4 linked regions of the Schizosaccharomyces pombe genome follow. The gene in region 2 interacts genetically with the main gene of each other region. Each region holds a gene or a part of one and is shown on either strand. Other genes may lie near its edges. The genes, in order: kti12, gsk3, set3 and ppe1.

Region 1 (3,562 bases), 3.5 Mb from region 2:
TCAGAAGCAACACGACCGAGATCCATACCATTTTCATCATCTTCGTTGTCAGAATCATTAATAATTTTAGTAACTGATGTTGTTCCAACTTCTGGAAGATCTTCGTGTCTGTCATGTTGCTCATTCACGGAGTTCATAGGCAGAGCAGGCATATTGATCACAGGTTCAGAGGCATCCTGCATTTTGGCATCGGTCACGTTCAAGCCAATTGCCGTCTAGACGAGCCAACTTTTAGCAATGAAATATAAGGCGGAGTATGTCTTTGCTAAGTGTTTTCGGCCTTAATGTGTCGAACGTTAGATCTCGGTTCAATGTGCTACTTATATAAAGCAAACGAGCGAGACTTATAATAAATTGTTTTATTACAGTATGGATTAAATAGTAAACATTATAACTAGATTTATACAATATTCGTTGTTTTACTGAAACTTTTATTGTCGATATTGACCGTGAACGTTTTCTTATTTCTTTTTTACAGGACAGCATTCCTTAAACTGTAAAAGGATTAAGGAATTAAACAAAATGTACGATTTCTACCATTTTAAACATGTTCTAAAAAAAAGAAACAAACAAAGTTAAGTATTAATATTAGGCTACATTTTTTCGTCCCCTTAAAAATCCCAAAAAAAAATATCATAAAGTTTAAGAAAAGGATATCAGTCCAAGGTTTCAAATTGACCATTTAAAAATTCGACAAACATTTCCTTGAGAACATTGGTATTATATGATTGTTGCCGGTTAATTTGGATAAATTGACGGCGCAATCTTTGAAGTAAAGGAAGAGATACTGTAACACTGGGTAATGCGATTTGAAGTTTGCTCCCTGGTACAGTAATCAAGGAGGTATCGTTGGAATTATCCAGTATAAGCATGATTACGTCTTGAGTAGTTTTATCTAATTCATATAAATAGTTGACTTCAGCTGGAGGTTTTACCATTGTAGCTTGGTTAGGCTTGACATTTTTGTTATGAATAAGAACTGACCAGATGTCATCGATAGGACAAGAAGCATCATCGTGCAAGACAGTAAATAAAGGGGAATCCCATCGTGTCATTCCATTCGGTTCTTCATAACGAAACATTAATTGCTCAAGAACATCGTCAGGATACGGCTGTTCCTTGTTACTATTGAATTTTCGACATAAATCTTGAGGAACAGCAACATGAATCACACAATGAGTTGTGTACATAGACTTTGATTCACAATATAACTGGTATCGAAATCCTTTTATGTAATTCAAGGCATCGCAAATTACGAATGTAGATTTTGAAAGTTCACGCTGAACAGCAGAATAGAGAAGGCCACGAGCGGCCTTTTCGTTCTTGGACTCTAAGACAAATTAGTTACCAGAATTACGAAAAATTGCATATACGGATTCTCCCATCATCTAGAGTAGCTGGGCACAATCTGAAGCCAAAAATGAATTGGCTAATTTCCAAAAACTAAATCATTAAAGATAACTATTTAAACATACCTCGATATGTTTCTTTTTCAATGTTTAAACTCTCATCGTTTATTATTATCACCCGATAATCCTTTGTATTGTCGATATTTTGATGAATTCGATCTTCTAAAGCCTTTTTAAGTTCATTTGACCTCGTTGTTTTCCCTGAAGATGGATAACCTGAAACAATTATTAATGGCATTTTCTTTATGTTCTACAAAATAGAAGGTTGAATAAAATCAGCCGTAAAACATATGTTTGAAAACTTCCAGCTTTTTTTTGATATATTTTTTCATGAATTTAACGAAAATTACTAGTTCGTTAAACATTAGTAAACAGTTAATTTTTATCCTTAATTTGTATTTCGTAATGCGCTCAATTTCGGTACTGACTTATTACTTACGACTAGTAAGTATTGCTTAGGCTTAAAAACACAGTAATTTCAATTTGCGGTCTCTTTAATTTAATCTTGCTTCCCTTTACCTTATCAATTGTTCTAAAAGAATTAAGGATTAACACTAGTAAGACCCCGGATTTTAATCGCTAAAAAAACATGCACGCCTTCTACGCAATCAGGGTTGTTCAATTTAAAAATAGTAATCATTTGTTGAAAGATTTTAAAGGTGCATAGGACATCAAGAAATATAAGCTAAATGCAGTTGATTAAAAGTTAGAAAAGTATCTACTTATGCCGCCATTAACATGTATCTGGTAAAATGCGACTAACTTATAACACATGTTGTATACCAGTCCAATGATTAATTTAGTACCCTGGAAAACGTCTTGAATATTGGGTAAAGAAAAATCAGAACTTAAAGAAACCTAGGCTGAAATATTTTTTTTTTAAATAACTATTCAGTTTGCCAGAGAGTGTAACAAAATTAAAGAAAGAGAAATATAATTGCATTCATCATAGGACTGCCAGTTTCATAGCAAATAAGCAGACCTAATATTAAAAAAGCAATTTTATCGGCTCAATTTTAGTCAAGCGTACAGCTGGCAAATAAATTGTTAGCAATTTAAACCAATTTATGTATCCGAAGATCATAAACAACTGCATATGTCAGAAATAAACTATCAAAAAAAAAAAAAATCCACGTAAATTTCATACCGTCCTCAGATCTTTTCAAATCATATTTTAATCCATCGAAATGTCTTCTTAAGGAGTCGTTTTTCAAAGAGAGTACTTGAAAAGAAGAATGAACTTTTTGAATAGTATTTAGGGCCTCAAATGGAATATGATAGTTTCCAGATATTACTGAGTTTACAGATTGACGAGCCTAGAAATTGTGTCAATTTGGATTGTTGAATAGAATATATACCAGTTCAGAACACAGAGATAGTACTGCGTGCAAATATTGCTCAATTGAAAGATGAAAAGTGGACTCTTCTGGAAAAACCGGGACTGAAGATTGTGAGAAAAATGTAAAATAATTTACGCACCTTGCAAAATTTGACCAACTTCGGAAAGCGATAGAAGGCTGTACGTGGGTCTTAAACTTTTATCTAAACGACCGGTCCAGGAAGCTAGCAAATATAAATAAACAACTTTCTGAATTGATCGATCCCAGACTCCGTTATATTTATAGTATGGAAAATTCGATGCCAATTCTGCTAATCCTCTGGTTTTGCTTTTAATGATCTCAAGAGCTTCTAAAATTTCTTCCTGATTTTCTAAATCTTCCAAAGTTAGTCCATGTTCTTTTTCTTGTAAATTTTCATTTCTACTTTGTTCACAGTTTGCCAAGAGAAGTTGCAAAACTCTTAACTTTTCGTCTAACAAATCGACCTCTGCAGTCAGTTTCTGTAATGTTAGTTTGTCATAATTTCCAAGATTAGTACCTCCCGAATACTATGTTCTTTATCAATTTGATCTTGTAGCTGAATAAATATTGATTTATTCATTCGACTTAATCTGTAATGTATGCTGTTGAGTAGTGTTGATATTCGAATGATGTTTTCAGTATGCAAATAACACGACCGTTGTGATATTTATCAGCCAGATTATACCAACCTTTTTCTTAAGTCGTAAAATAAAGATAATCAATTTAGCGGGTATTTTGCAAGTTATTAACTAAAATTATTACTAGCTGCTAAAGAAACGCTTGGGTTGTTTA
Region 2 (4,728 bases):
GAACGATAAATCCAGAAAATTTGGAAGTCTCGCATCTAGTCATTCACTCCTTTCTTTTCAAATGACTTGTTTTTTTTGCTTTGCAATTTCTTACCACCTCCCTTTTGAAACGTTGTTTGTTCAGTTGGGTTGATTGGTACTATCATCTCACAAATAATTTACTTCAAATACACTCGTTTTTGCTGTTCACGTCGTTGTAGTTGTTTGCTAGTTTCGTATACGAAATGAAAATTTTGCTCTTATCTTTACTTTTCTATTTTGAAATAAAATGAATGTCAAGCTTACACATGTCATCGACACTAATTTTGATTTGCAATAACTAGTAACTATTCGTTTGTAAACCACTGCTAATTAATCAAAAATTACCAGACTCCTTTCCATTTATTGACTTAGTATGTAATTAGATTTACATGTTTTTCTATTTCTATTTACATATTGATATCTAACGTTGCCAGATGATTTCCTAGAATTTTGTACCCTTTTGATGTTTGCTATATCTTAGGTAGTATTGAATCATAATATTACTTCGCCTCACCAGCTTCTTTCATGTAGTCTACGAAGCAAAAACTTAGTAATGACTCTACCAAAAGAATTTTTAATGAGGACAAAAAAATGAATTAAACAATAATAAAAACAAAACATTCTTTTGAAACCTAACCATAAAATATTAATTGAATCAATCACAAACATTTTACTAGTATAAGAATTATGATATATATGTATATATGAGATTCTGCAGTATACTTTCCAGAATGAAAGAATTACCGATTACATTTCTCATCCAATTAAAGTTTTAAAGTCGCTGAAAAACTTTCAGCAAACTAAGATGGTCTACTTATGACTCCTAAAATAACAATTAAGAAAATAATCGTGATCGAAAAAATTTAGTTCTCATCAAAACAAAATTCAGGTTTGATTTATTCAACACCAATAACGACAAAAAAAAAGTGAACGAAAAGAATATCCACACAAGTAGACCATTGTAGAATCAGTATAGATAGCGATTGGTATATGTACGCACAACAAGGCAGATTCACTGGCTATATTAATGCGTAATACAACAAAGAAGTAAAATAAGTTTGGTGGCAAAAATGGATATACAAGAACTTTAGAAGATGAATGCATATACCCGTTACATTTAATCAATTCGGGCACGATGAATTGGAATTGGAACAAAATCATCAAGTTTCACGGGTAAAGCATCGCGAGCATGGGACGGAATTAGTTTTTGGTTAAGGTCAGGACGAATGGATAGTTCGAAGGGGGAAAAATTAAACAATTCGGGTAAATGACGAGGAGAAGCATCGGGATTACGAGAGTTATGAAGCTTAGTATTAGGATCCCGAAGCTCATCAAAAAAGGGATGGCACATTGCCTCAGCAGCAGTAAGGCGATCAGTAGGTGTATATTGAAGCATTTTTGATAAGAGATCCAATGCATCAAGGGGAACACTTCGAGAAAACACTCGTGAAAGAGGCTGTGGACGTATTTGTGGGAATCGATGTTCCATATAATTAGGATTCATAGTCTTTATTTGTTCTCGACTAGGAGTACCGAGAATTTTGATAATCTCTACCAACTGATCAATGCCACTTTCACCGGGAAAAAGAGGATGTCCAAGCATAAGCTCAGCCATCACGCATCCAGTAGACCAGATGTCAATAGCGTGAGTATAATCAGTAGCTCCAAAAATCAATTCTGGAGCTCGATAATAACGAGAACATATATAAGAGACATTTGGTTCACCAGCAACCAAGATTTTTGCGCTACCAAAATCACAAAGCTTTAATATTCCGTTTTCCGGATCTAATAGTAGATTTTGAGGTTTGATATCACGATGGCAAATACCGCTAGCATGAATGTAGGCTAAAGAACGCAAAAGCTGATATATATACAATTTGACTTCCAGCATTGGCATAGAAAGTTTTTGACGAGTATATAGACGAGAAGCACGATAAATCGTTTCAGGCATAAACTCTAGAACCAAATTTAGATAGACTTCATCGGAATTATCACCGGTGGTATAATAGTAGGCAATTAAATCGACAATATTTGGATGCTTCATAATTCGCATAATTTGTAACTCCCTATTCTAAAATTAAGTGTTAGAAACAAAGGTTCATTGGAGAAGATTTATAATACTGAGTTTTTTTATAAATCTAGAAAGAAGTGCAAAAAATGGAGGAGGGAAAAAGGAAAAATATGTTCAAAACGAATACACTAAATTTTCAACGCATCCAAATACTGGCTAAAAAAAGCTTGTGTATCGTACAATGGATGCAAAAAAAAAGCAATAGGCATTTGAGTTGTACAATTTCATGACAACAGGTATGGTAAGCCTGTGGACACTTCAAAGAAGAGAAAGCACAAAAGCAAGTAATGTTTTAATAACACTACTCTCTTACCATTTATGGCATGTAGACGACCAATCTTTTGTAAATGAATCTTACGTATATTGACGAAGCACGCGCGCTACGTATCTTCAGCGTAAACAAAAGTGTGCGGTTTTCACAGAAAAATAAAGTAAAATCTAACCCTTCCTTTCGCATTTTGCATTCAATAAAAATACATACCTTAAACCGTTTATCTTGCAAAACGCGTTTTATAGCGGCTTTGCTGTCTGATTCAATTAAATGAACCTGCATGACCACGCCAAAGCTTCCAGAGCCCACAACTTTACTCGAAGTGTAAGAAAGTTGCTTCACCTCTCCCGTTGACCCATCACGAGCGGTTTCCTTTATAATACGAAAGGGGTCCACAGGAACTATTTATACGGTTAGAACAACAGCACTATCGAAGTTAGCCAACTTACTTTTAGTACCATGATTCATTATGGATGATGATACAGAAATGTTAAATTACAAAATGAAAAAAAAGCTATCAGAGGACTTAAAAAGGAGGTTTTCTTGGCGTGATGAACGTGGAGTACGGGTTGTGGTAGTGGAGGAAGTTCTACCATAGAATAATCTCTGGGGTATAGTAGCATGATACAAAGTGCGTACTTCTAAGAGGTAACATTACGGGACATGAGCAAATCATAAAACTGTAAACTCTCGGCGCAAGTATCAAAGAAAAGAGGGTTCATTCTTTCCTCTTATTTATTACAATAACCATAAAAAAGTACGTATATTAATGAAAAATTCGTGCTTGAGAAATTGAATTCATGGTTATTAACCATCTTACGTATACGCGATTATCACATTGTGAGTTTTAATTCCTCCAGTCCGTTATATTGAATAGTGTTACCGAATTTAGAGTGATATACTTTGAAACTGCTAGAGCAAACACTGAATTCGATGTGGATTTTAGAAAAGAAAAACATATTTTTTAAAATAATTCACATAAAATCTAGTAGGAAGTTTGACTTTTCAAATGCCATCAGAATTGTGCTCCTACCTTTCAGTAGCAACTGCTGTCGCAATTCATATACAGTAAATAATGGAACATTCACAGGGAGACAAATTTATACTAGCATATGCAAATCGCGTATCCCTCCCTGTCTCAAAGGAAAAAATGGAAAAACTACGAAATCAGAGAGCGAACCAATGTCTCAGAAGCATCTCAAATATGTTAAAAAATACATAAACAAAGTAAGAATCCTTAAAAAATGAATGTGTATAAATAATGTCAAACATTCATATATAATATATAACACGAGTATTAGTATGCCACACCGCTAAAGGAGATTATGCTTGATAGCCTACATCATTAAAGCCATTTTGCAAGTCGATCTATTAACTCATCAAAAATCTTGTATTACGTGTTTTGTTATTTAAATATTGCGCACAACCTTAGCTTCGGTCAATTTATTATATTAGCTAATAACGCCTTAGTAGGTTGGCTTGGCACGTAAATAAAGTCAATTGAACACATTTTATACATAAATTTTGAGATTTCCAACTGTCTCTTCAATATCCTTGTTGATTTGGCAGTTTTAGAAAAAAAAATTCAGCTTAACGTTTTTATACCATATATTCATTAAGGTCAAGTTTCGTCCACTTTATCGCACCACGAAATTTCCATTTGTACCACCTTCAAATTGCATCAAATAGCCTGATTACTTAGTATTTAAACGCAGTTATTCCACTTTTGATTGTCTATCTGTTCATATTATTCCTCCTTGTCTTTTCGTTTGGATTTTTAACTCACTTCTAGTCTTTTTTTGATAACTGTTGAACAAATTATATCTCTTCTAGCCATCGGACGCTGATTTTCATTCCTTTCTTTTTTTTTACTGTTATTTCGTTCATTTTAGCATTTTTGGCACTATCTCATTTGTTTGCATTTGCGTTTCCTTGTTGAATAGTTTTTTAGTTTAGGGGAACCATGTCTGTCAGTACTAAACGTCTTGAAATGGATGAAGAAGCAGAAGAGGCTTTTGATCTTTTTGACGTGACACACAAAGGGTACATTGACTTTGAAGACCTTCGAAGATCTTGCGCTCAACTAGGGGAAAATTTGACTAAAGAACAGCTTCAGTTGATGCTCGATTTAGCTGGCACTAATGGTAAAGTATCGCGTGAAGAATTTGCCGAATTGTGGATTCATATATCTTGAGATTGTTTATCAATGGAGACAAACTTCATTTTATTTATGGGATTCATTCTCGCACTTTAATGACTTAATGATGATGGACTTAGTGTACTAAAAAAGATTAAACAATATTTCCTCGTGTTTTCTTTTTGTTTTCAAGCCATAGATGCCTGTTTTATATACTTGGTTGTAGGT
Region 3 (5,658 bases), 4.1 Mb from region 2:
ATATGAGGTTTGTAGAGCTAAATGCCTTCAAAGTATTTATTACTAACGGAAATTTAGGGTACATACTTGCTATTTCTGCTCGGGTCCTGTTTACCCAGGACATGGAATAATGTTTGTTAGAAATGACTCCAAGGTCTTTCGTTTCTGTCGCAGCAAGTGCCATAAGAACTTCAAAATGAAGCGCAATCCTCGTAAGGTATGTTTTTTTTATAATAAAGGAATGCAAAAACGTTATACAGACTTGGTTGAGGAAGATGATTGATTTTGAAAGAGGAAAAATTTTTTTCTGTTGCCTTGTTTTGAAATGATACTTTTCTTCTTCAAATTCTACCTTAAATGGTGTACTTTTTCCTTTATATGCCCATGAACGAAGAAAGTTTTCTATTGTTTTTTTAAATGTTTTGCTTCCACCTATATGTATGTATACTAACTTCAATGTCTAGGTTGCTTGGACCAAAGCGTACCGTAAGGCACATGGAAAGGAAATGGTTTATGACACAGCTCTCGCAGTTACCGCAGCTCGTAGAAATGTTCCTGTTCGTTACGACCGTAATGTCATTGCAACTACTTTGAATGCCATGAAACGGGTTAGCCAAGTTCATGCCAAGAGAGAGCGTCTGTTTTACAAAAAGAGATTGGCTGGCAAACGTGCCCAAGAGCTTCAAGAAGCTCAAAAACTCATTGCTCAAAATGTTCCTCAATTTACCGAACCCGAAGGTGAGGTTGAAACTGCTGAGGTACAAGAACCCCAAATTGTTTCCGACGAGGAGTATACCATGGAAGAAGAAGTTGCAGAACCTGTCAAGATTCCCGTCCTCGCCAAAAAACGCAAAAACAAGAAATCTCGAAACTCATCTTCAGCCATGCAAATGGACTAAACACTCTTCTTCCTACAAAAATGTAACTCTCGATCTTCCGTTGGTTGCGTCCCGCTTCGTTCTTTTATTTTATTTTATTTTATTGTTTTATTCCTTTCAAATTTACAAAATAGTAGAAGAGAAGACATTTTTGGGGAGTGGTTTTCTTACACTTTCGAACTCTTTAGACACTTCGAAAACGTGTTTTTTAAAATTTATCTTGCATATCTAAAGTTGGCATTTGGTTTCGGCTTCTCTTCTCGTTTGGTTACTTCTTTGGACTTGCATGCTACGTGCAGATTAATATGGTTAATAATGGATTTTCGTGTATACATACTTGTAAACGAACCTATCTTCAGTTTGGAGCTTGTACAAGATACAACAGTCTAACAGTTTGAAAAATGGTTGTTTAGGAATAAATTGGTTTATATTATTAGTTTCGTTTATCACAAATGCCTCTTCGAAATGTAAAATTCTACTAGAACGATAGAACATTGCTTCATTATTTGGATTCAATTCTCCATGAGGTATATTTAGTAAGTCATAAAACAGTAAAGACTTTGTCATTTATGCTGGTTTCCTTGCATATACATTTCTCTATAGTTGACAAGCCTATTCAAGTCTCATATCACTGTGGAACTCATGAAAACAGATCCCTCTCCTTGTAAAGCTGTTTAAACCCTACAGTCCAATGCTAAAGGTTGTTAATTCTTTAGAGTTGCGAGTCCGTTATTGACGTTTTCGATTGCTTGCGCACACTCACTAACACCATACATTAGCTAACTACTGACACATTGCACCTGCCGTTTATCTCAACTCATTGTCTTAGTAGATGATTTTTTTTTTTCAAAATGGTTTCTTAGCAAGACTCATTAAAAACTCCTTGACAGTTTTATTACCTTCTAAAATATGTAAAATGAGAAGTTTCATAGAGAAATGAACTATTCTTCAACATCTTCTTCTCTTTGTTTTTACCGAGGAGACGTTAGACTGCGGAAACGTGGTTTATGGGACGTGTGTTTACACTCGGTGGATGGAAATGTTGAAGAGCGGAATAATCGCGACGTCGTATCAACTACCAAAATCGCGTATGCAAATTGAAAACAGAGTATTTGTTCAACTTACATGGTTTTTCGAGTATTTATATACTAGATTCCTAGTTTTAGGAGAGTTCAGATAATCGAGATAGCCATTGGTATAGTTGGGGCTAAAATCTTTGCTTTCATAAGAAAGCAGTAATTTCCAAGGTTAAATTGCTCCTGTACAGAAATTAGCGTTTATGAAATACTTCTTTACTTTGTTATAAGTTGATCGTTTTCTCTTTGGTTAAGTTAGCATGTGGAAAATACGATGCGTTTGTCCATTCGAGGATGATGACGGATTCACCATCCAATGCGAAAGTTGCGAGGTATGGCAACACGCCGTTTGTGTAAACATAGATGCAAATAATGTTCCTGAAAAATATTTTTGTGAACAATGCCAACCTCGTCCTATCGATGCCGACAAGGCGCATAAAATTCAACTAGCTAGGTTACAGCGCGAAGAAGAGCAGTCTAGGATATTATCGCGATCCCGTTCTTCCAACAACAAGAGAAGAACTAGTTTTGGCAAAAATGGTGCTAGTCCTACACACTCTGCGTCACCGAGACAAGGCAATAACACAGGCGCTAATGGCGCTTTATTTTCACAGTCTACCAACTCTTCGAACTCGGGGTCTTATCGTAACAGTGTGACTGGTGCAACATTGCCCAATGCTCATGCTCCACATTCTCAGAATCGCAGACGAAGATCCAACCACCTTAACAACCCACCAGAGGCTCCAATCACCGAGGCTTCTAACGAATATGTGTATTCGTTTCACTTGGAATACGTCCCTTTGGAATCAAACACCTTTTCTGCATCTGCGCTTGAGTATTCTAAGAATTTGGATTTAAAGAATTTAGATGAATCCGAAGTTTTAATGGATGGATGCCAAGTCGTACCTATATCATCTTCAAAGTTTTGTTGTAGTCGCTTTGGTTTGGTGTCAACTTGCGAAATTCCTCCAAATACACCCATTATGGAGGTGAAAGGAAGGGTTTGTACGCAGAATGAATACAAAAGTGATCCCAAAAACCAGTACAATATTTTGGGGGCTCCTAAGCCACATGTCTTTTTTGACTCAAATTCTCAGCTTGTTGTTGACTCACGGGTTGCTGGTTCAAAAGCGAGGTTTGCGCGTAAAGGTTGTCAGTCAAACTCCGTCGTTTCAAGTGTTTACATGAATGGGTCTAACAGTGTTCCTCGATTTATCCTCTATTCAACTACTCACATAGCTCCGGAAACAGAGATTATTGGGGATTGGACTCTCGATATTTCCCATCCATTTCGCCAGTTTGCGCCTGGTATGTCGCGACCCTCCTTCAATATGGAAGAGTTGGAATTACTTTCAGAAGTGCTTTCTACCTTCCTGTCGTTTAACGAATGTGCCTCACAGGATAAGAAAAACTGTGTTTTTTCCAGAGTTACTAAATATATTAAAGCGGCCCGCCGCGCTTCTACTGCAAACCGTGTCAGTGTAGCAAAAGACCGTTTGTCTCTGACACCTTCCTCAACCCCTTCTACCCCTAGCCCTGCTGAATCATTACCGCAACCTTCAAACCCCACATCGGTCTATGCCAAATCCTTGAAAGAGTTTTGGTTAGATAAGTACCGTCTTAGTATTTTGCAAAAATGGCCTGCTGTTAAGTCATTACCCACAGAAAGTGTAGGAATCGATGTAGTCATGGAGCCGAAGTTACAGCCATCTGTGAAGGAGAAAAAACCAACTAAAGATTTACAATCTCCACTACCCTCTGTTGAGGAAGATTCCTCTAATAGGGACAAGAAAACTGATATTGCTGATTTACACACTGATTCTAAGGTGGGCATTGCAGACGTCTTATCGCCCATTTCACCCGATGCTGCATTACAATCCGATGGTCCATTGAAAAAAGCAAAGGAACCTGAAGAATCCTCGATAACCCCTACAACTCCTCCATCTTTTAATGTTGGAGAATCACTAAGTAGGCGATCAGCCTCACCATTACAACATCCTCGAACAAGCCCAGATATGCTGGACAAAACTTCTCCTTGCAAAAGAGGATTAGGAACTATTACGACAGTCCACAAAAAGCATGGTTCTGTTGATCATTTGCCGTCAGTTAAAAGACGCCGTAGCATTGCAAATGATTTTCATGGCAAACCTGATTATAATAAAAGATCGCTATCTATCGAAAGGAAGCCGGAAGCCTTTAAGACTAAAGGTGACAGACCACATAAGGTCCATCCTTCTTTCCATAGAAATTCAGATTCAAAATTGAAACTCGAGCCGTCGAGTAAAGAAAAGAGTGGGTCCATGTTTTTTAATACGTTAAGGACTGTAAAAGATAAATCGCATGTTCACGACACTCAAAGGTCTTCTGACGTTAACTTTTCTAGACAGAATGGCACTCGATCCCATTCACCTTCGGTTAGTCCTGTCGGGTTTTCGTTTGATAAATCTCCTGTAACTACGCCTCCTTTGCCGACAGCTCCAGCACCAGTTATAACGAGTCGCCATGCTTTGGTAAACAACCAATTTCCTACGAACAATCCAAACATTTTGGACCACAAAGCCAACAACGGTGATGATATCTCGAATGCGTTAAATACTTCAAGAAGCGAAAACAAGCCCAATTCGAATCTGGTCCAAGGAAGTGTAGTCAAGCCTAGTAACACTTCAGCCTCTGCTCTTCCTACCTCAGCACCGAAGAAGCTATCTCTTTCTGAGTATCGACAACGACGTCAACAAAACATTCTGCATCAACAGTCGAAGGATAATCAAGCACATGGCGATACAGCTAGGCCTCACACCGTTCCTGCTGCTACAGTTTCTAACCCTTCATTTACGCGATAAAAATTCTAGAAGATGTTGTAAATCTTGAAACCATATAAATGTGTGGATGATTTTTTTTATTGGATATGGTATACGAACAAGTTTTCACGATTCTAAAGTTGGTACGATGACTGCATCTTTTTACCTTCATATGTATTTTCATTTCATTTTTTTATTATGATGATTGGTACTCGGAGCATATTTTACTGTCACCTGCTTCTGCATTCTTTTCTTCTTCGTTTGTAAATATTTAATGACTAAGTGTTTGGGCGAAAACTCTAGTTCCTTTTTTTTTTTTTAGTTTCTTTTGATTCAGAGCAACGAACCCTCAGTCGTTGCATTTTTCTGTTCCTAATTTGCACGTTTAGAACATTGTACAATATAATAATATTAATTTATAGCAGTTAAATGATTTATGTTTGTCATATAGAAGTTTCGGTTCGTAAGATTATAAGAACTAACTATTTAAGATGTCAGCTATTTCCGTATGCGACATGTACTAGATTAAATAACTTTTTGGATACGCAAATGAAGCTAGTACATTTTGAGTATTAAGTATCATAAATATAAACATCGATTCAAATATGCTACGTGCAGATTTCAGCGAATTGTCGCATCAAATTAAACTATTCATCGACGATCCACTCAGATCTTGTATATATCAAACGGCCTACGTTAATATAGCTTGTCTACTTATAGCGACTCTGAAAGTGCGCCGTTAGATTATTGTGGTATAGAACCGGGAGGTTAGGTACCATTCCTCTCTCTCCATGAACCTACTTTTTTAAGCGAAACGCAAACAAAAGTAAACAATTACCAATGAACATTTCACGTTCATCAGGTCTGATGAGACAGTTCCTGCTTCAGCCCTTACGGAAAGGCTGCGACATTTCTTGCCTTGGAAGG
Region 4 (6,035 bases), on a different chromosome or scaffold from region 2:
TACTTTGAAGACTTTTTAAATGAAGTTGATCACTTAAGGAGGGAAATGCATTAGAGCTATCTTCTTGACTTACTTCAACTGAAATTTCATCTTGTTCCTCCTCCTCACGAAGTCCGCTGAGCTTTCGAGGAAGAAAAATTGTAGATTCTCGTCCCGAATTAGGCATTCTTCCTCGCAATCTTGCCATGACTTCTTCAACCTCTTGATAGAGATCTTTGGTATTGAGGCTAGCCTTTCGTTCAGTTGTACGCATAGGTTTTTGTGGTCTTCGTGGTTCAGGGAGTGAAAATTGTTTTTCCCCATTTTCAAATGAATTGGACTTTACATCTTGAGTTAATTGATTCAAATGCTCACGAGTAAACGGATCACTAGCTCCTTGGAAAAGTTTAAGGGGGGATGTATTATTGGGCTTCAAGGAGGGAGAAGAAACAACGGATGAGGATGACGATGCATTGCTAGCATGGTCCGTATTTTGCTTTTCGTGAACCGAGTTAGACCTGGTATTAGATTGTTGACTTTTCAAGCTTCCTTCTGAGTATTTTTTGCTAAACTGAGAAGAGGAGATAGATTCTTTTTCGTAATCCTGTGAAACGAAAGGATCTTTAGAAGGAGAAGATTGCATGTTCGATACATTAGATAGTTTACCAACTGAAGAAGAACTACGCCTAGAAGAGTTATTACTGGACTTTTTGGACGGATTTTTTGTTGGAGACTTTGAAGGGGGGCTTTGTTTGCTGCTTTCTTCAAACATATTTTCCAAATCCAACCTTGCAAAAATATCACGAGCAACAGGGTTCTTTGCATTCACCTGTTTCCATTGAGGAACATCCGGAGCATCATTTCTTCCTTTCTTAAACGTTCCATGCTCTGTCGAAGTTCCTGAACTACCACGACCTGTAGATTGAGTATTGTTTACATTTGATGTGGTTGGTGGTTCACTAGAATTGTCTGACCCTTGTTCTTGTGGCTGCGGAATCCATTCTTCACTTAAATCATGTTCAAGCCATAACTGTTCCATGATTTCTGAAAAGCACACATACCTTCCATAGAAAAAAGAAGTTTTGTTTACGTCTATGAGACGCGACGGGATGTCGTGGTACTGGGACTCAATCACCCTTTTGCACAATTTGACATAGGATATTCAAGCGTATTCGTAATGCTGCTTATCATATTTTACGATATTTTCCACAATAAGGGTATAGCGTTATTTTGTTTGTTACGTTGAATTCCAGTAAATTTATTTATTCAGAAGGAAAATTATGGCCATAAGTATTTGAGGAAAAAATCAAAGCTATAAGTAGTTCTAAGAGTTGATAAACTTGTGCATGAGAGATTCACTTTATTCTGTTAACTCGGAAGACTCGATAAAAAACAATTAATAGCAATTGCTTCGGTAACCTTCTCTGTACGATTTTTCTTTTGCCTACGGTTTCGCATACTTGACGACGGAGATGCCATTTATATCAACAAGATATCATATATTCTTCATGACTTTGAAAGCTCTTTAGTAAGCAAGTTTTTCACAAGTTGGATCTACGCTTGCAACAATCTTCGAACTGATCCTAAATTCGCTTACTATATTTAAAGGTTATGGAAACGACACTTTTATTGTCGTTCTACAGACAACGTTTCTCGTTATGCTACTCTCTCATCTTCGCCTCATGACCTAGACTTTCAATCGTTTAAAACTCTACAAGTATTTATAATTTAAAGCAATCCCACCTCGGTAATTTAAGAAAATTTGCAACAAAATTTGACGTTAGCAATAAGGATAAAATGTGTTCGACGACATCCCAATTTAATCAGCGGACTATATAAATTTGTATATAAAAGGTCATTTCCACATGTAGACTTTTTCATACGACTTTTGAATGTACCAAACATCCATATCTGATAAAGACTTGGTACGCCGTTAATCGTTACAATACGTTAAACACCCCTCTTAAGTATTCAACGTACTAACTTACGTACTCTCCGCAAACAACATATTTAATTAGGAAGCCAATTTCTAAATAGGAAAGTATTGAGAAATAACTGTGTTTAATAATCTAGAAGAGATCCTTGAATAATTTGTGCTACAACGATGTTTGACTTGGATGAATGGATCGCTACAGTAAGGAAGTGTAAATATCTTCCAGAACACCAGTTGAAACGATTGTGTGAGATGGTAAAAGTTATTTTAATGGAGGAGTCCAATATCCAGCCTGTGCGGACTCCCGTTACTGTTTGTGGTGATATACATGGTCAGTTTTACGACCTTTTGGAACTGTTTCGAGTAGGTGGAGAATTGCCAAGCACAAATTATATATTTATGGGTGATTTTGTGGATCGAGGTTATTTTAGCTTAGAAACTTTTACGTTATTTATGCTTTTGAAAGCAAGGTACCCAGATAAAATTACATTGCTTCGTGGTAATCACGAAAGTCGCCAGATCACTCAAGTCTACGGGTTTTATGATGAGTGTCAAACCAAATATGGAAATGCAAATGTTTGGAAATATTGTTGCCAAGTTTTTGATTTTTTGACTTTGGCAGCGGTTATCGATAACAAAATTTTATGCGTGCATGGTGGATTATCTCCGGAAGTTCGCACATTGGATCAGATTCGTATTCTTGCGCGTGCTCAAGAAATTCCCCATGAAGGCTCATTTTGCGATTTGATGTGGTCTGATCCAGAGGATATTGAATCTTGGACTGTTTCGCCTCGGGGAGCTGGATGGTTGTTTGGTTCTAAAGTTACTACCGAATTTAGTCAAATCAACGACTTGACATTGATTGCTCGTGCTCATCAACTTGTTCAAGAGGGCTACAAATATCATTTTGCCGATAAAAATCTTGTTACCGTTTGGAGTGCTCCCAATTACTGCTATAGATGTGGAAATGTGGCAAGTGTTATGAAAGTAGATGAATCTTTGGAACCGGAATTTCGTATTTTCTCGGCTGTTGCCGACGAAGATCGTACCGTTCCCCCTAGCAGAAAAAGAAGCGAGTATTTCATCTAACTTTGGTATGTGCAAGTCAAATATCTTGTTTTTTATGGCACACATATACCCCCTCAAACATGTAATAGTTTTTGTTTTTTAAAACGTAGCTTTTTTTACTTCCTTGTCCGACACTTTCTTTCTCTCTTCCAGTTCTCAACTTCCATATTTTTATTTCCGTTTGCTTTGCGCGTGAGGTATATTCTATTTTTCCTTGGCAGCTTGTTACGCAAAACGATATTATAAGTTACATGGGTTTGTTTTTTAATCTTTTTTTCCTAGCTATTTTCAGTCGCTATAGTTTAGATTGTTTCCCTTCAAAAAAGCGACTTGGTGTTTGCAATTTTATTTCACCTCACATTGTGATGATATTCCCTTAACCTTTTTTTCGCAATAGCATTGACTTGCGTTACCACACTGTTCCAGCAACATAAAGTTACTTAGTGCCCAAAAATTCTTAATGATCCCTTCTCCATAATTTTTGTTTCCATTACTACGCGTCCATAAAGCCAATAATCGCATGTTGCAGTGCTTGCCTTGTCACTCTTTTGTCAAGAACGTTATACATAATTCCTCTCGGGTTTGCGTCGAGCTTGCTTTAATTGGGGTTTCTTGGCATCTAGTACGATGATATGTATATCATGATTTTTCTCAGTTTTGTCAGTTAAGATTAAGCAAGCAAGGGTGATTTTTGATAATCAATTTCTTATATATAAGTTTAGTATGCATTATTATATCTGTACAGTTCTTTGGACAAATTTTCTTGATAATATCTCTGCCGATATATCGTTTCTGTTTCATGCTTCGCTTCTCTTACTTTCTACTTACCTTTGTAAAATAATGTTTTGCAAATTGTCGCTTGCTTTGCTAAGGAAAGTCAGTCAGTAACATAATTTGCAGTTTTAATAAGCACCTGTTCGATCATTGCACAATTTTTTGTTCGTTTGACCGGATTTCGTAGTATTTGTATTTTTTTTAAATCATTCTTATTTACGAAAAGAAGAAGGAGTGGTTTGTTTGTTTTTGAAGTTGATAAATTTGTCTACGAGAAGAAGAGGAGGGATATTCAGCGTGCGAAAATTGATGCCTGAAAGAGACTAATTGTCTTCATGTACTCTGATTATCCCAAATTGTGTTATACAGTGCATACATGGAGAATATATAAAGCTTTTTATGTATCTTTTTAAGATGTCTTCGATACAGTGATGAGATGAGTTGAAATTTTTTTTATGACCTCTCTGAATATGGCCTGGTTTTTCTTTTTTTCCGTTGAGGACATGGCATTTTTCTTGCGTCTGAATGCTGGATTTAAAATGATCAGTTTTATGTGTGTTATCAAGTGGCATTGATATTGGATTTGCTGGTTTATTTGAAAATGAGAGATATTGCGAGAATTGGGATCTTTTTATTCGAATTCAGTTAAACTTGTTTGTTGAAAAAAATTGGTAAAAGCAAACGGACAATTTATATTTTTCTAACCCCAATTCTAGGGTTTTGTTGAATTGAAAAGAAAATTGGGCTTTCCGAAATTTGCAAACGCTCATCGATCTATGATCTTTTTCATTTATTTTCTATTTTCATTTTCTTAAATGTCTTTGCTATCATTGAAGTAAAACCGTTTTCAGTTGCATCTTGTTTTACAAGCTTCTTTCCATATCCTTTTCACTTGTGTTCTACAAAGGTTGTTTATTCTTGTAAATAATTTAAAATAGTTTGAAACGAGCCATTTTCAATCAAACTGCCCGGACTTGTGATCGTGTTTATGACTGTGTGTCTAGTGAGCTAATGTTTCGCATAGGGCTTTTATCGCACACAATTTTCATGTTTAACTATATATAACTTTTACGAATCCCCTTCTACAACGTTAGTAATGCGCTGGTAAATCAAAACCATGAAATTTTGGATATTACAGAACATTTCCCATTCTATTTAAGTGCAACACTGTAAAACATGTCTATGTTACATGCATCAAAAACGATGCTTCTTTCATTTGATTTATGAAAACATTTAACGTTTCATTTTTTATTATTTCTTCAAAATTACCCCCTAAATACTTTCTAAAGAAAACATGCTGATTCCAATTTCTAAACTCATTGCACCTGCCAATATAAATAGAGTAAGTAGAGTGACTCAGTGTTAATACTCAACGGGTCGTATTAGTGAAGCTCCTTCCACTATTCATCTTTCCATTTACTGATTTATCTCGTATTCAACCGTAATTTCTTTTAACGATTTCTAAGACTTCTGGGCATTTATTGCACTCCAATGCGCTGTCCTCTGTATCCCTTCCGGCTCTTTCCACGCTCTTCCAGGACTTTCGAGTTCGTTAAATAATTTAACGGATTGTTCGATTTCCTTTTTCGCTCTTTACCAAACTGCTTCATCATGACGTACGGTGTTCGAAAGATTCTCTACTGTTCTACCCAAACGTTCTGTAAGGTGCTTTACGAGCGAGGGTTAGGGTTTTGGGAAACTTCGAGAACCGTAGCCTAATGTAATAAATACGATGAATATCCCACCCTCCCAACATCGTGTATTCCTATTACTTGCATTAATATCAATTAAGGAGTAATAAATCATTTTCCTTATAGGAAGTTAACGAAGAAAGTTATCTATTGCATCTTAAATAAGGAGTGCTATATTAAATTATTTATATCCCACGTTCCTTTTTATAATCCCCAAATAAACTTTAGTCTTTTTTATTTGTTTTTTGTCTTTTCACATCAATATGAGCAAATCAATCGGAATTGATTTGGGTACTACCTACTCTTGTGTTGGACACTTTTCCAACAACCGTGTCGAAATTATCGCCAACGATCAAGGTAACCGCACTACCCCTTCTTATGTTGCCTTTACCGATACCGAGCGTCTCATTGGTGACGCTGCTAAGAACCAAGTCGCCATGAACCCCCACAACACCATCTTTGATGCCAAGCGTTTGATCGGCCGTAAATTTGATGATCCTGAGGTTCAGTCTGACATGAAGCACTGGCCCTTCAAGGTCATCTCCAAGGATGGCAAGCCTGTTTTGCAGGTTGAGTACAAGGGTGAGACC

What was found.
Region 1: mutations in gsk3 (region 2) and kti12 together harm fitness less than expected from each alone (positive genetic interaction), as found in Schizosaccharomyces pombe (2 studies listed by BioGRID).
Region 3: mutations in gsk3 (region 2) and set3 impair growth when combined (synthetic growth defect), as found in Schizosaccharomyces pombe (one study listed by BioGRID).
Region 4: of gsk3 (region 2) and ppe1, extra expression of one is lethal in a mutant of the other (dosage lethality), as found in Schizosaccharomyces pombe (one study listed by BioGRID).

Annotation. Positions count from the first base shown.
Region 1 is NC_003424.3:4,392,243-4,395,804, forward strand, and holds kti12 (elongator complex-associated protein Kti2), read right to left. Parts: upstream 1,716-3,562; 5' UTR 1,648-1,715; coding exon 1,476-1,647; exon of another isoform or gene 1,331-1,475; coding exon 657-1,330; 3' UTR 571-656; downstream 1-570. Other genes in the region: Sec7 domain-containing protein sec72, read right to left, coding at 1-182; tsn1 (translin), read right to left, coding at 2,465-2,499, 2,557-2,725, 2,768-2,850, 2,889-3,125, 3,174-3,249, 3,288-3,350. UniProt on the Schizosaccharomyces pombe protein: Elongator complex-associated factor that is not a structural subunit but rather transiently contacts the complex.
Region 2 is NC_003424.3:928,042-932,769, reverse strand, and holds gsk3 (serine/threonine protein kinase Gsk3), read right to left. Parts: upstream 2,940-4,728; 5' UTR 2,832-2,939; coding exon 2,813-2,831; exon of another isoform or gene 2,765-2,812; coding exon 2,574-2,764; intron 2,093-2,573; coding exon 1,139-2,092; 3' UTR 573-1,138; downstream 1-572. Other genes in the region: SPOM_SPAC1687.23C (uncharacterized protein), read left to right, coding at 3,297-3,611; SPOM_SPAC1687.14C (calcium-binding protein), read left to right, coding at 4,327-4,557. UniProt on the Schizosaccharomyces pombe protein: Interacts with cdc14 which is thought to play a role in the initiation and completion of mitosis. Involved in the positive regulation of mis12.
Region 3 is NC_003424.3:5,039,017-5,044,674, reverse strand, and holds set3 (putative histone H3 lysine methyltransferase Set3), read left to right. Parts: upstream 1-1,930; 5' UTR 1,931-2,193; coding exon 2,194-4,773; 3' UTR 4,774-5,129; downstream 5,130-5,658. Other genes in the region: ribosome biogenesis protein rlp24, read left to right, coding at 3-7, 58-196, 444-878; etp1 (monooxygenase-ferredoxin fusion protein), read left to right, coding at 5,572-5,658. UniProt on the Schizosaccharomyces pombe protein: Transcriptional regulator that acts via the formation of large multiprotein complexes that modify and/or remodel the chromatin. Required for both gene activation and repression.
Region 4 is NC_003421.2:2,051,535-2,057,569, forward strand, and holds ppe1 (serine/threonine protein phosphatase PP6 catalytic subunit Ppe1), read left to right. Parts: upstream 1-1,976; 5' UTR 1,977-2,083; coding exon 2,084-3,001; 3' UTR 3,002-5,535; downstream 5,536-6,035. Other genes in the region: SIN component scaffold protein cdc11, read right to left, coding at 1-1,018; heat shock protein Ssa2, read left to right, coding at 5,709-6,035. UniProt on the Schizosaccharomyces pombe protein: Has a role in chromosome segregation. May provide a dynamic connection between kinetochore microtubules and kinetochore chromatin. Negatively regulates mis12.